3 linked regions of the Diceros bicornis minor genome follow. The protein of the gene in region 2 interacts with the protein of the main gene of each other region in a biochemical or structural test. Links are inferred from orthologs where the notes say so. Each region holds a gene or a part of one and is shown on either strand. Other genes may lie near its edges.

What was found.
Region 1: the proteins of NCL (region 2) and TOP1 form a complex in vitro, tested with the Homo sapiens proteins (2 studies listed by BioGRID and IntAct). The link is inferred for Diceros bicornis minor from reciprocal best matches to the Homo sapiens genes NCL and TOP1.
Region 3: the proteins of NCL (region 2) and ADAP1 form a complex in vitro, tested with the Homo sapiens proteins (2 studies listed by BioGRID). The link is inferred for Diceros bicornis minor from reciprocal best matches to the Homo sapiens genes NCL and ADAP1.

What each region holds. Positions count from the first base shown.
Region 1 is NC_080758.1:19,539,339-19,543,080, reverse strand, and holds the start of TOP1 (DNA topoisomerase 1), read left to right. Parts: upstream 1-772; 5' UTR 773-990; coding exon 991-1,023; intron 1,024-1,325; coding exon 1,326-1,350; intron 1,351-3,742. UniProt on the Homo sapiens protein: Releases the supercoiling and torsional tension of DNA introduced during the DNA replication and transcription by transiently cleaving and rejoining one strand of the DNA duplex.
Region 2 is NC_080776.1:19,896,099-19,899,840, reverse strand, and holds the start of NCL (nucleolin), read left to right. Parts: upstream 1-1,553; 5' UTR 1,554-1,683; coding exon 1,684-1,701; intron 1,702-2,844; coding exon 2,845-2,961; intron 2,962-3,742. UniProt on the Homo sapiens protein: Nucleolin is the major nucleolar protein of growing eukaryotic cells. It is found associated with intranucleolar chromatin and pre-ribosomal particles. It induces chromatin decondensation by binding to histone H1.
Region 3 is NC_080765.1:13,550,961-13,554,702, forward strand, and holds the start of ADAP1 (arf-GAP with dual PH domain-containing protein 1), read left to right. Parts: upstream 1-971; 5' UTR 972-1,075; coding exon 1,076-1,157; intron 1,158-3,742. UniProt on the Homo sapiens protein: GTPase-activating protein for the ADP ribosylation factor family. Binds phosphatidylinositol 3,4,5-trisphosphate (PtdInsP3) and inositol 1,3,4,5-tetrakisphosphate (InsP4). Regulates the incorporation of CD63 and CD9 into multivesicular bodies.

The sequences.
Region 1 (3,742 bases), on a different chromosome or scaffold from region 2:
CCGAGGTCCGGTCTCCTCTGGCCCCCTGCCCCAACCCCTTTCTCAGCACAATTCCTGGCTCACAGTAGAGGCTCAATACATGTATGTAGAATGAACGAATGAAATTAGGCCTCATGTGACACAGGGCTACATGTACCCAGCTGAAAACTGGAGCTAAACCAGACCTTCGGTTGGTTGAAAAATTAAAATAAATTTTAGGAAGTGGGCGAGAAATAATCCAGAAGTTGGAAGGCCTGGACAAAGGCTGGGGCGGGGGCTCCTCCTGCCAAGCGGCCTCAGGGTCCAGTTAGCGAGCTAAGGAGAGCTGGTGAGAGCTCTGGGGCCCCGGCTGTCAAGTTACTTGCAGCTCAAGCGATCCAAGAGGCGGCATATCAGCTCGGCCCGGGCCTGGAGCGGTCCCGCCGCGGCCTTTAAAGGCCCACCACGTGGCCGCGCTGCCGGCCACGGTCCGGAGGCGGAGTCCCCGCTGCGCCTGCGCACTGCCTATCAGAGGGATCCGGAGTTCCGAGAAAAGGCGCCGGGAGAGGAAGGGAAGGTTGCTGAGGGTGGGCGGCCGTGGGAGGAGTCGGCTTCTTATGCAAATCACAGAAGAGAGCGAGGGCTAGGGGCGGGGCTTTCGATGCAAAGCCGGGTACGCCTCAGGAAGCGCGAGGGGGCGGGCCCCGCAACCCTCGGCCTCTTTCCGCGAGTCTCTGACGTCGCCGACGTCCCGTTTAAAAGCGGCCGCGCAGGCGCAGTGGGCCGAAATGCGAACTTAGGCTGTTACACAACTGCTGGGGTCTGCTCTCTCCGCCTGCCAGGCAGTCAGTCAGCGCCGCCGCCACCGCCGCCGCCTCAGCCGTTCCGGGAATCTCGGGCCCGCCGCCGCCGCCGCTTACCCACGCCTCCGGGAGCCTCCCGGAGCCCCCGTCCGCCTGCACAGGCCGGTCCCGACCGTCCGCATCCCGTCGGCGCCCCTCGCCGCCCGGCGCGCTCGCCGCTCCGGCCGACATGAGCGGGGACCATCTCCACAACGATTCTCAGGTACGGCCCGGCCCGGCCCAGGCTCCCGACCCCCGGCGCAGGCCCTGGCCCCGGCGCCGGCCCGGCCGCTTTGACAGGCCGGAGCCCCCGGCCGGAGGCGGCCGGCCGGAGGAGATCGGCTCGCTGGACCCCAGGCGAAAGCCGCCAAGTTACAATTCGGGGGGCTGGCTGCCCCCTCAGGCCGCCCGGGGGCCCCTTCATCCCTGGGGGCGCGGGGTGGGCTAGGCCCCCGGCCGCGCGCGCTCGCCGCCCGCGGGGCTCCTGTGCTTGTTGTTTCACATTCCCTCCTTTTCTCTCTCCAGATCGAAGGGGATTTCCGACTGAATGGTGAGTGTGCCCCCGACCCCGAGCCCCCCAGCCGCCGGCCGCCCACCCCGCGCCCTGCCCGAGCCGGGCAGAGGACAGACATGGCGTCCCAGAGACTAAGTCCCGGCTCCTCGCTCACCGGCCCCATTGTTCCCATCGGGCCGCCTCTGGACCCCCTTTCCGGGGACCCCAGCGCCCCCAGATCGCGGCCCTCCCCAGAGGGGGCAACGGAGACCCCGCGTCGCCCGCCGCCGGGCCTCGGGCGGCCTTTCCGGGCCCGGATTCCTCCCGGGAAAGTCGCCTTGTCGACAGTCGGGACTTAGTCTCTGCGCCATTTTCTTTTTCTCTCTCCTCTCCTTTCTGTGGCTGTCTTTCTCTCCCTCCCTCGGCTCCTTCCTCGAGCTGCCCAGAAAGAGCTTTCTGCCGAGCAGAGCCCTGTAAATCACAGACCTCACCCGGGAGGGAAGGGTGGGAGACTCAATTGTTACTGTTTTTCCCGAAGAGAACTTTATTTTGGGGGTTATTCCCTTTCTGCTTCTTGTTGGTTTCCTTTTCTGTTTCCAGAATGAAAGATACCCTTCGGCAAACTGTTGATTTTTTTTTTTTTTTTTTTTTTGGTAAGATGCTTATGATAGGAATTATGGCTCTAAAACGAAAGCCACCCTCTGTGGAGTTCTTCATATTTTGAGGTTGTTTTCCCCAAGTTGTGTTCTTTGCAAAGGTAGTTGTACCTCTCTTCAAAAAGTTTGCGAGTTCTGTATGGGCCATCCAGTGTAAATGTTGGAATGGGGCGTATTGATTTTTTTTTTTTAAATAAAAGTATTACTGACCAGAACTTTTCATGTTGCTGAGGTTCCTAAGGCAATGTTTTTTTAGAAACGCAGTTTAGTGTACTTGTCAGGAGGAAGGGTTGTTGAGCATCTCGTCTGGACCTGGTGTACTGGCGTTTTCTTTTGGGCTGTGGGGAAGGAAAAAAGATTTTATTTAATGAAACAAAGAGTGGCCAGCAGCCACCCCTGCTTCCTGTTCATTCTTTTTCAGAAGCCGCTGTTTTTCAGGAATAGAGAGCTAGCTTGCTTTTCCTGGATCTTTATGTCTTTGAACCCTTTTCAGCCAAATCAAGGCATTTATTCTTTGAGTATTTCCACTTCAGTTACCCAATGAAGATTCCCCCAATAAAAAGCTCACCCTGTGGGCTTTTCAACAATCCTGTTGAAGGAGAAGGTACCCTCTCTAGTGTGCTGGGAATTCCCACTGATTCTGATGGTACATAATCCTGCTCAATTGAGTTTGGGTTCCGGGAACGTCTCCAATGGGAGAAGCTGATGAGTAGGTTTTCTGATGTTGTAATCAGCAGTCCATCGTGTTAGCCTGCTCTACTGAGAGCGGCCTTATGTTCAGCTTTTGAAGTGGGGCATCCAGTGGGAGATGGTACTCTGTGAGGAAAGAATCTGGTTCAAGTGTAGCGTTTCTTGAGCACCTAGTATGTTATAAGCACTGTGCTTAGTGCTAGAGCTGAACCTTCTGCCACAACGCTGCTCATGTCTTCTATCTAGTCTATTGGGTGAGATGTAATTAGTTAATTATAAGGTAGGTACTGGGGTATATATATACCCAGAATGCTTTGGGAAACTAGGGGACTTAATTTTGTCTGGGGGTGGGGAAATTTCTCAGAAGGTGACTTCTGAGCTTGGTGTTGTGCAAGACTAGGTGCTGAGTGTCAGGGGTTGGAGTATTTCTTAACTGTGTTTAGCCAACCTATCAGGATTTTAAAAGAGGGAGATGAGGTCCTGCAGTTCAGAAAGCCAGCAAGAGTATAGATATGTTTCTTTGGGATGTGTGAGCAGAGAAATGATGTGGCAGGTGAGGAGGTAAGAAGTCCTTTTGACCTTTCTTGGAGGAAGGTAGGATCTTCATACAGAAAAAGTGTTCTTTTAACTTTCAAGCTGGGCTGAGTAGGTAATGTATTTAGTAATGAAACAAAGGTTAGTCCTTTCTCCTGGGAAAGTTAACCTCCATGGTTCTCAGCTAAATTATACAAAGGAACTATTGAGTATTTGAATGATTGTGGGCTGGGTAGGTTATTGATCTGTACGGCCACTTGTATAGAGACTAAGTAAACTGGCTATGTGGAGTTTTAGAATGTGTTTGTTTGCTTGTAATAGCAGTAATTACTAATATTTATTGAATGCTTACTCTCTACCAGAAAGGAATCTCAGCTCTTTCCATGGATCATCTAATTGAATCCTCGGAAGGACTCTTATGAATTAGGTTCTGTTATCTCCAATTGATAGGTGAGGAAACCGAGGCTTAGGTATGTTTACTAGCTTGCCCAAGGGTAGTGAATTGGGCACTCCAAAGCTCACAAGCTTAGCCACTGTGCTATATATTTGATTCTAGTATGAAGAAGTTA
Region 2 (3,742 bases):
CCATGAGTCCCCTAAGCTTGCTCTGTGCCAAACTGCTTGGTAACATGGGGGTCTTATTCCACCATGCCTTGGCTTGTGCTGTTCTGTTTCCAGTCACCCAGTAAGTGTCCCCTGCGCCCCCATCCCGGAGTTCAAAATGGAAACCTCCTCAGGGGACTCTCCACAGATCACCAGAGCCTCCTCCCTGATGAGAGCGCCCCAGCGGGTACTCGTGGGTTTCCTATACACTCAGTCCCAGGAGTGTTCTAGTACGAATTGCAAAATAACTTGATTGCTCACAGGAATCCCCATGCGCCCTTGTTAAAATACAAAGTCCTGGGCCCCAACCCAGGCGTCTTTAATTGGAATCTCCAGAGGTGATTCTGAACATCAGCTCAGTTGGGGAAACATCGTCATAGGTGAAGGTATCCTGGTTTGTAGGAACAATGAGGTACCCGATGCCCAGGACGTATCCTAGGCAGGCTCTAAGCTGAAGAAAGTGCTCTGGGTTAAGTTTGGCATCAATTAAGTTTTGCCCGCAGTGACCCACCTGAACAATGCAAAGACAATCTTCTGTGCCTCCGCCATCGAGGAAACCTTTCCTTTGACTATTTGACCTACTCCTGGACCATCTGGTGACACAGACTTCGCGGCCACATTTTAATGGGTGCTTTAGTCCAAATAAAGAGGGAACTTGTGCATGGTCCAGGGCCTGGCTCTGTGGTCAGCCTGACCAAGTCCCTCTCCCCACCCCACAGATATATAACACCCTGCGACCGCCAGAAAGTTCTCTCTCCGAGCCTGTTCCCTATCGGGAGAAACATCTAGCGCACGAGATTAAATGTGATATCTGTGCACTGCTCATAGTAACTCGCACAAATGTACGCGACTGTCTTTATTAACCGCTCTCAGGAGGCAGCTTTAGGCACGTGGCCCAGGAGGGCATCACCCGCCGAGAGGGGGATTTTTCTGGCCTCTTTCGTTGGCGGGCGGGGCTCAGGAGGGCCCCCAACATGAACCTTGCGGTCCCTGAATTTCCAGAGGTCTCGGGCTCATCAGCAAGGAAACGGGGCGAACTCCTCTCTCCACGGCCGCCGGGAGGCTCAGCGAGGAGCACGCGCCAGAGGCGTGCGTTAGGCCTCCGACGAACTCAAAAGCCGTCCGAGTCGACAAGACCCGAACACATTCGGGAACCGGGGACCACGCGTATTCACCACTCGGGCTCGGGCACAAGCGGCGCCAAAAACGGCCGTATGACAGCGCAGGCGCCGCGAGCGCGGGCCGCGGAGGGGCAGCCGGGCACCGCGCGCCCACGGCCCAATCAGTGCCGGCCTTGCACAAAGCGAGTCCCGCCCCCAGGGCGCCGCCACCGAATCCCCTCCCCCTCCTTGCCTCCTAGGCCCGCCCACTCCCGCCCGCGCCCCGCCCCGCGCCGTTCTCGGGGAGAGGCTCGCGATTGGCTCATGGGATGGACGCGAACTCTGATTGGTCGATACGGAGTCACGAGGGCGCCGTCGTCGCCTTTCCAGAGGCGATTACTGGGCAGGCTCAGTCTTTCGCCTCAGTCTCGAGCTCTAGCTGGCAGCCAAGTGTACGTGCTCCGGGATCTTCAGTACCTGCGGCCGCCATCGACGTCGCTTAGGTTCCTGTGGGCTCGTCTGCGCCACTCGCCCGCCACACGCTCTGCCGTCCTAAGCCGCCATCATGGTGAAGCTTGCAAAGGTAAGAGGCCTTGCCCGCGCAAACACGGACGTCGAGGCCTGCTTTCTGAGGAGCGCGCGCGCGCGGCGCCGCGAGGAGGAGGGCCTGCGCGCCGTCTGAGGCGCGTTCGATGGCGCCATGCTGCGGCAAGTCTCGCGCGATTAGCGGGGAGGTCTCGCGGCTTTTGGCTCCTCGGTAGCGAGGTGAAGAGCTTCGGCAGGTGCCGCGGGTGGTGGATGGGGCGGAGAAAGACTCCGGGACGGAGCGCGGGGAGGGGGCGCTGGGCTTCAGGCCGAGGGATGAGGCCGAACTCCTGCGACGGGCGCGAGCGGGGCCCCGCCTCCTGACGCACGTGCCACGGCGCGGGGCCCGCCACGTGGGCCGCGCCGCGTGGGTCCCGCCGTCCGCGGAGGGAAGCGGGCCGTGGGGCGAGGAGCGGCGGGATGCTGCGGTCGGAGGCCCGGCGGCCTCCGGGCTCGCCACTCGGGCGCGGCGGGCGGGCCCGAGGGGGGCTCGGGAGGGAGGCCCCGCCGCGTGCCTCTGCGCGCACATGGTGGCCTGCGAGGTACCCCACGTGGCCCCGCCGGCCGAAGGGGCGGGGTTGTTACCCTGGGAAAGGAAAACCTCAGAAGGCCAAAGGTCGCTAGGGTACGGCGCGGTTTGGAAAAAAAAAAAGGTCTGAAAGATCGTCGCCCGAATTTGAATATAGATGAGAGCGGTGGAATAAGGGGCCAGAACCTATTTTAAGGTGGTTTTCGCCCCGGCTGAAGGGCTATGGGTTATTGGCTGTTACAAGTGTTCATTTGTAAGCTACCGAATATTTAAAAATTGTGCGGGTTGTAATGATTGATTCTGGAAGTGTAGTTTCAAAGACGGGTGTGCTTAATAAAGGCCAACAGCAAGAGGGAGATAATTTCCTTGAAGTTGGTTTTTCTTCCTATGGTTGGTTTTTGTAAAACCTGACGGAAAATGTGTGGGAGGTTGAGAATTCCCGTCCTAACGTTGATAGCAAGAGGTGGTTTATGATAATTTCGGTATCTAGTAGTATGAAAACTGGATCGTGAGAAAGGGAGATGACTGTATTTTACTGTGAAGAATGATGGCAAAGTATGAGTGGCGTGAAACGTTAGAGGTGTAGTGTGCTAATAAATGTGTGTCTTCTAGGCTGGTAAAAATCAAGGTGACTCCAAGAAAATGGCTCCTCCTCCGAAGGAGGTAGAAGAAGATAGTGAAGATGAGGAAATGTCAGAAGATGAAGAAGATGAGAGCAGTGGAGAAGAGGTAATTATTTGCAGCTTCATGCAGAATTTTGTTGAACTAAAAAATGAGCTAAACAGATGGTATTGGATGTCTGAAAATACTGGCAAAAATAAGATTATATTTGTTCATATATGATCTGTTATGATTGTTGCCCAAGCTCTTCACTGAAGTGTGGAGATACCATAAGGGTAAGTATTTGAGTGAATTTGAGAGAAAATATCTGGAGTCTACTCTTTATGTGCCCTCTGCAAGGCTTGGTGTGATGATGTATTAAATCATTATATTTTTTAGTCCTACATACTAGATGAGGAAACATCCTGGGCAGTTAACTGTCCGATAAGTGGCGGCCCTGAGCATTATATTCAGGTTTGAGGTTAGCCTGTGCTAGCCTCCTAGCAGGATTAATTGGTTTTTATTCCGTTGTATATGCGCTCTGTAACCCTAGTCATTGTACTAAATTATCTCTTGGTGTGGATTAAGGGTTACCACCTCCCTGTGTGTTCACATTGACTCTGTTTAGCACTCCTGACTATTGTTTGCTCACTCTGTAAAGACAACCACTACATTTGTGCTCAGATTGCTTGTTCAGAATTTAATAAAGGTTTTACTCTAACGCATTACCTGATAAGTTAGTAATCAAAAAAGTGGCTTTGAATGTGACTTAAATGTAGATGAATGATGGTTTTTACGAAGCTAACACGTTCACTTTGTATTGATTTTGCAAAGACTGACTGTCCTACTTCATACTCATTTTCTCTGGTCCCAAGAATGAGCTTTCAGTGAACTTGATACCACCACCTGC
Region 3 (3,742 bases), on a different chromosome or scaffold from region 2:
AAAAAACCCCAGAGGCAGATGGGAAGGAATAGGGACTCCCTTGGTGTTCCAATAGGCTTCGGACCATTCTGGAAGGATGCTACGAGATTGTTGGCCATGGTTGGCTCAGACTCGCCAGGGGCGGGGCTGGGAAAGGTAGTAATTTTCCTGTCTGGTACTGTTTCAATTAGTTTTTATCAAGATGTATCCTTGCATTCACAATTTAAGAAGAAAATGGAAAGAACTTGAAACAATGCAGGAGCATGCAGAGGAGAAAACACCTTTTTGTTGCCTGTCCATCTTTTTGTTGCACCTCCATCTCTCCCCATGTCACACTAGTGTGTTGTTCCCTGGCCTCCTGATGCAGGAGAGCTTTATCCTGTCCCTGCCGTGGATGGAGGGTGGGGGCCCTTCTTCCAACTGAGCCCACGGACACTGGAGCTTGTCACCCGCTAGCCATCTCCTCCCAGGGCAGGGATGGTGTGAGCCCCCAGTCCCCAGCGCTGGGCATGCACCCCTTCCTTCAGCAATTCCCAGGGTGCCCACTGGGAATGGTGCGCAGCCTGGGGGGCGCACAGTAGGTGTCCAGGCGCCGTTTCAGGCCCGAATGACTGCACGGATGACCCCAGCCGGGCTGGCAATTATTTGGTTCCTTCAAGCCCCCACCACCAGTGTGGCTGGCGGCATTGTGCCGGGGCAGGTGGCACGCTGTGCCCGGATAGGGGTGGGCGGCGGCGGGGAGCCCTCCCTGGGCGCGTCCCCGGGGCCCGCGGGCTGGGGGCGCCGGGCCGGGCGGAAGGAGGCCGTCCGCCCGCCCGCCCGCGCCGCTGGGGGCCGCCCGCGGGCCGCGCCGGCCAGAGCGCGCCGTGCACCCCGGGCCCCGCGCTGGCACACGCTCGGCGGCCGCGGCGGCGACACGAGCGGCGGCGGCGGCGGAGCCGGGCCGGGCGGGAGGAATGCGGAACCGGCGCGCGGGCTGAGGCCGCCCAGGATGGCGCAGGGGCGGCGGCGGCGGGCGGCCTGTGCGGGGCTCTAGCGCGGCGGGGCGGACGCTCCTAGCCCGGCCCCGGCCTCGCGGGCGGGCGGCATCGCGGCCATGGCCAAGGAGCGGCGGAGGGCCGTCCAGGAGCTGCTACAGCGGCCGGGGAACGGGTACTGTGCTGACTGCGGCGCCCCGGGTAGGTGCGGGCCGGGGGGGTGCGAGCCAGGTGGGTGCGGGGCCTGGCTGGGTGCGGGCTTGGGTGGGTGCGCCCAGGGTAGGTGCTGGTCTGGGTGGGTGCCGGCCTGGATGCTCGCCTCAGGGCCCGGGAGGGGTGCTGCGGCGCCTGCGTGGCTGGGGGTGCGGGCCGCGCTGCTTGGTCCCCGCTCGGGTGGGGCGCGGGCCCGGCGTGCACCTGCGGGGACCCGGACGTCGCCTGCCCTCGGCCCCAGGCCTGAGGCTGTGTCGCCTACCCTCCCCCCCAGGCTGCGTGTCTCGCTGTCACCCGGGGACCGCCGCCGCGTTGCGAAAGCCGGGGCTCCGCAAAGAAAGAGGAAATCGCGGCGGGCGACCGGCTGCAGGGGGAGAACGGTCGAGCCGGCCGGCGGGCTTCCGTGCGTGGGTGTGGGGTCCACCTGGCTCCCTGCCACTTGGAGGTGACGTCATGGGCCTCCCCCTGGAGCCACCCTCGTGCACCCAGCAGGAGGAGGAAGCCCCGGCCGCCTCCACGTGGACCCGGTGGGAGCGAGCTCCCCTCCCCCAGCCCCACGCCCAACTGCTCTGGGGCAGGTGGCTGGTTCAGGTGGGGCAGGGGGCAGGTGCGACTCGGAACAGGCACTCGGTCCACCTGCACTTCATCCTGCCGGCAGGCATCTCCTGGACTTTGCTCCCGGGTGGCCACTGCTCTGGGGTGATTTCCAAGGCGCTAGTGTCCTGGGGTGCTTCCTCTTCCTTCCTGGGGCAACTCGTCCTGCCTTGGCAGGAACAGGAAAGGCTGGGCTCTCAGACCAGCAGGACTCTGTTTCCCAGCAGGCAGCCCCTGGCTGGTCCTCTGCAGGTCGGGGCCTGGGGGGCCGTGGGGAGTGGGCAGGCACAGCCCCTAGAGGCTCACCTGTTCATGCCCCCACCCTGGAGGGTGGCCTAACTCAGGGGCTGTCCCCCAGGCACTCCAGAGGTCACTGGACACTCCACTGGGGGCTCCTAGTCTGAGCCCCTTAGAACAAACCTAGCACCATGGAGTGGCCGAGGCCCCCCAGAGAGGGAAGGTGGGAAGACACTGCATCTGTCCCAAGACACCTGTTTGAGATGCACAGCCTCTGGATACCCCCAAAATAGGACCCAGTCCCCAGCTCTGCCCTGTTGCCCACCCCCTGGGCTGGGAGGGGTCTCTGACAGCCCCAGGTCCTAGCAATCGTCTGGTTGGCCGCTTGAGTGTCCCAGAGAGGAGGCAATGACAGGCTTTTCTGGAAGCCGGGCAGGCTGAGACGGCCTTTCCCGCTCCCGCCTCGTGCACACAGGACAGCACTGGGCCCGCCCCGGCGGTGCGGTGGGGGCGGCAGTGCCATCGCTGCTGTGCGCTGCTTCTGCCAGCTGGGCTCACCCCAGACTCTCCCCACCCCCCTTTCCCAGACCTGTATTTCCACTTGTCCAGGAAAGCTGGCCATGCCAGGGCGAGGTCGGTGAGAACAGGTGGTCAGCACGGCCCGCTCTCAGGCTTGGCCTGGGGAGATGAGGGCCCTGACCCTCTCCTTCCTGGCCGCACTGCCCAGGAGCGGCTTCTTTGGACCAGAGCCTCCCTCCAGCCACTTCTGGGCCCCCCAGCCTCGCAGGAGGGAGAGGGGTCTTCCTTGGCATGGTGGGCCCTGCAGCTGCCATGCCCAGCCCACCCAGTGGGGCCAGGGGCCATTGCCCCGAGGCAGGCACGCTGGGCTCTGGAGCAGTCAGCTCTCGAGGAGCCCAGCTTTCCCTGGCCTTGGGCCAAGCCTCTCATTTTTCAGAATTGGCCCATGACATCAGCATCTTGCCTCCTCTGTCTGGTAGCCCTGTAGAGCAGGCGAGATGTGGGCAGTTGCCTCCATTTTACAGCTGGGGAGACTGAGGCCTTGAGAACTTGAGCTGTCTTAGGGGACTTGGTGCCTCAAAGGCAGACCAGGTCTCCTGACGCCAGCCCCAGCCCCAGCCCCGCCTGCTCTGCTGTGCCCGCTTCCGGCCTTCTGCCCTGCTCCACAGGGTCAGGAGATGAGACCTGCTGCCCTTCTTCCCCCTTGTGACCCCGTGCAATGCCGCCCATGGTCTCTGCTTCTCGGCTGAAGCCCATGTGGTCTGTGCATGTTCTGTGCCACTGTGGGGTGCCTCTGGGGCCTCCTGTCCCTGCTGTGGCCCAGATGGGTGACTGGGGGCCACGCTGGCATTGATGGGGGCAGCAGGAGGGATGGTGTGTCACATGGACTGGCTCATGGCTGCTCTTCCCGACCACAGCTAGCCAGGAGCAGGGCATCCTGGAGTGGGGTCCATGTGGCGTTGGCTCTGACAGCAGGGCACAGGATGGGCCTGGGCTGCCTCTAATCTCTAGGCCTGGGGTTTTTTGGAGTAGACATGGGAAGACCTGGCCAGCTGGCCATGTGAGGGCGGCTGGGAGGGAGGCAGTCTGGGGGGTCCCTGCATCTCCCACAGGACCTGCTCCCGATCCTCCCCATTATGTGCCCCAATGCGGACTCCCCGTCTCACAGTCTCCCAGAGGGGATATCCTCACTACAGGCCTGGGTGGGTGGGGGCACCTGGGTC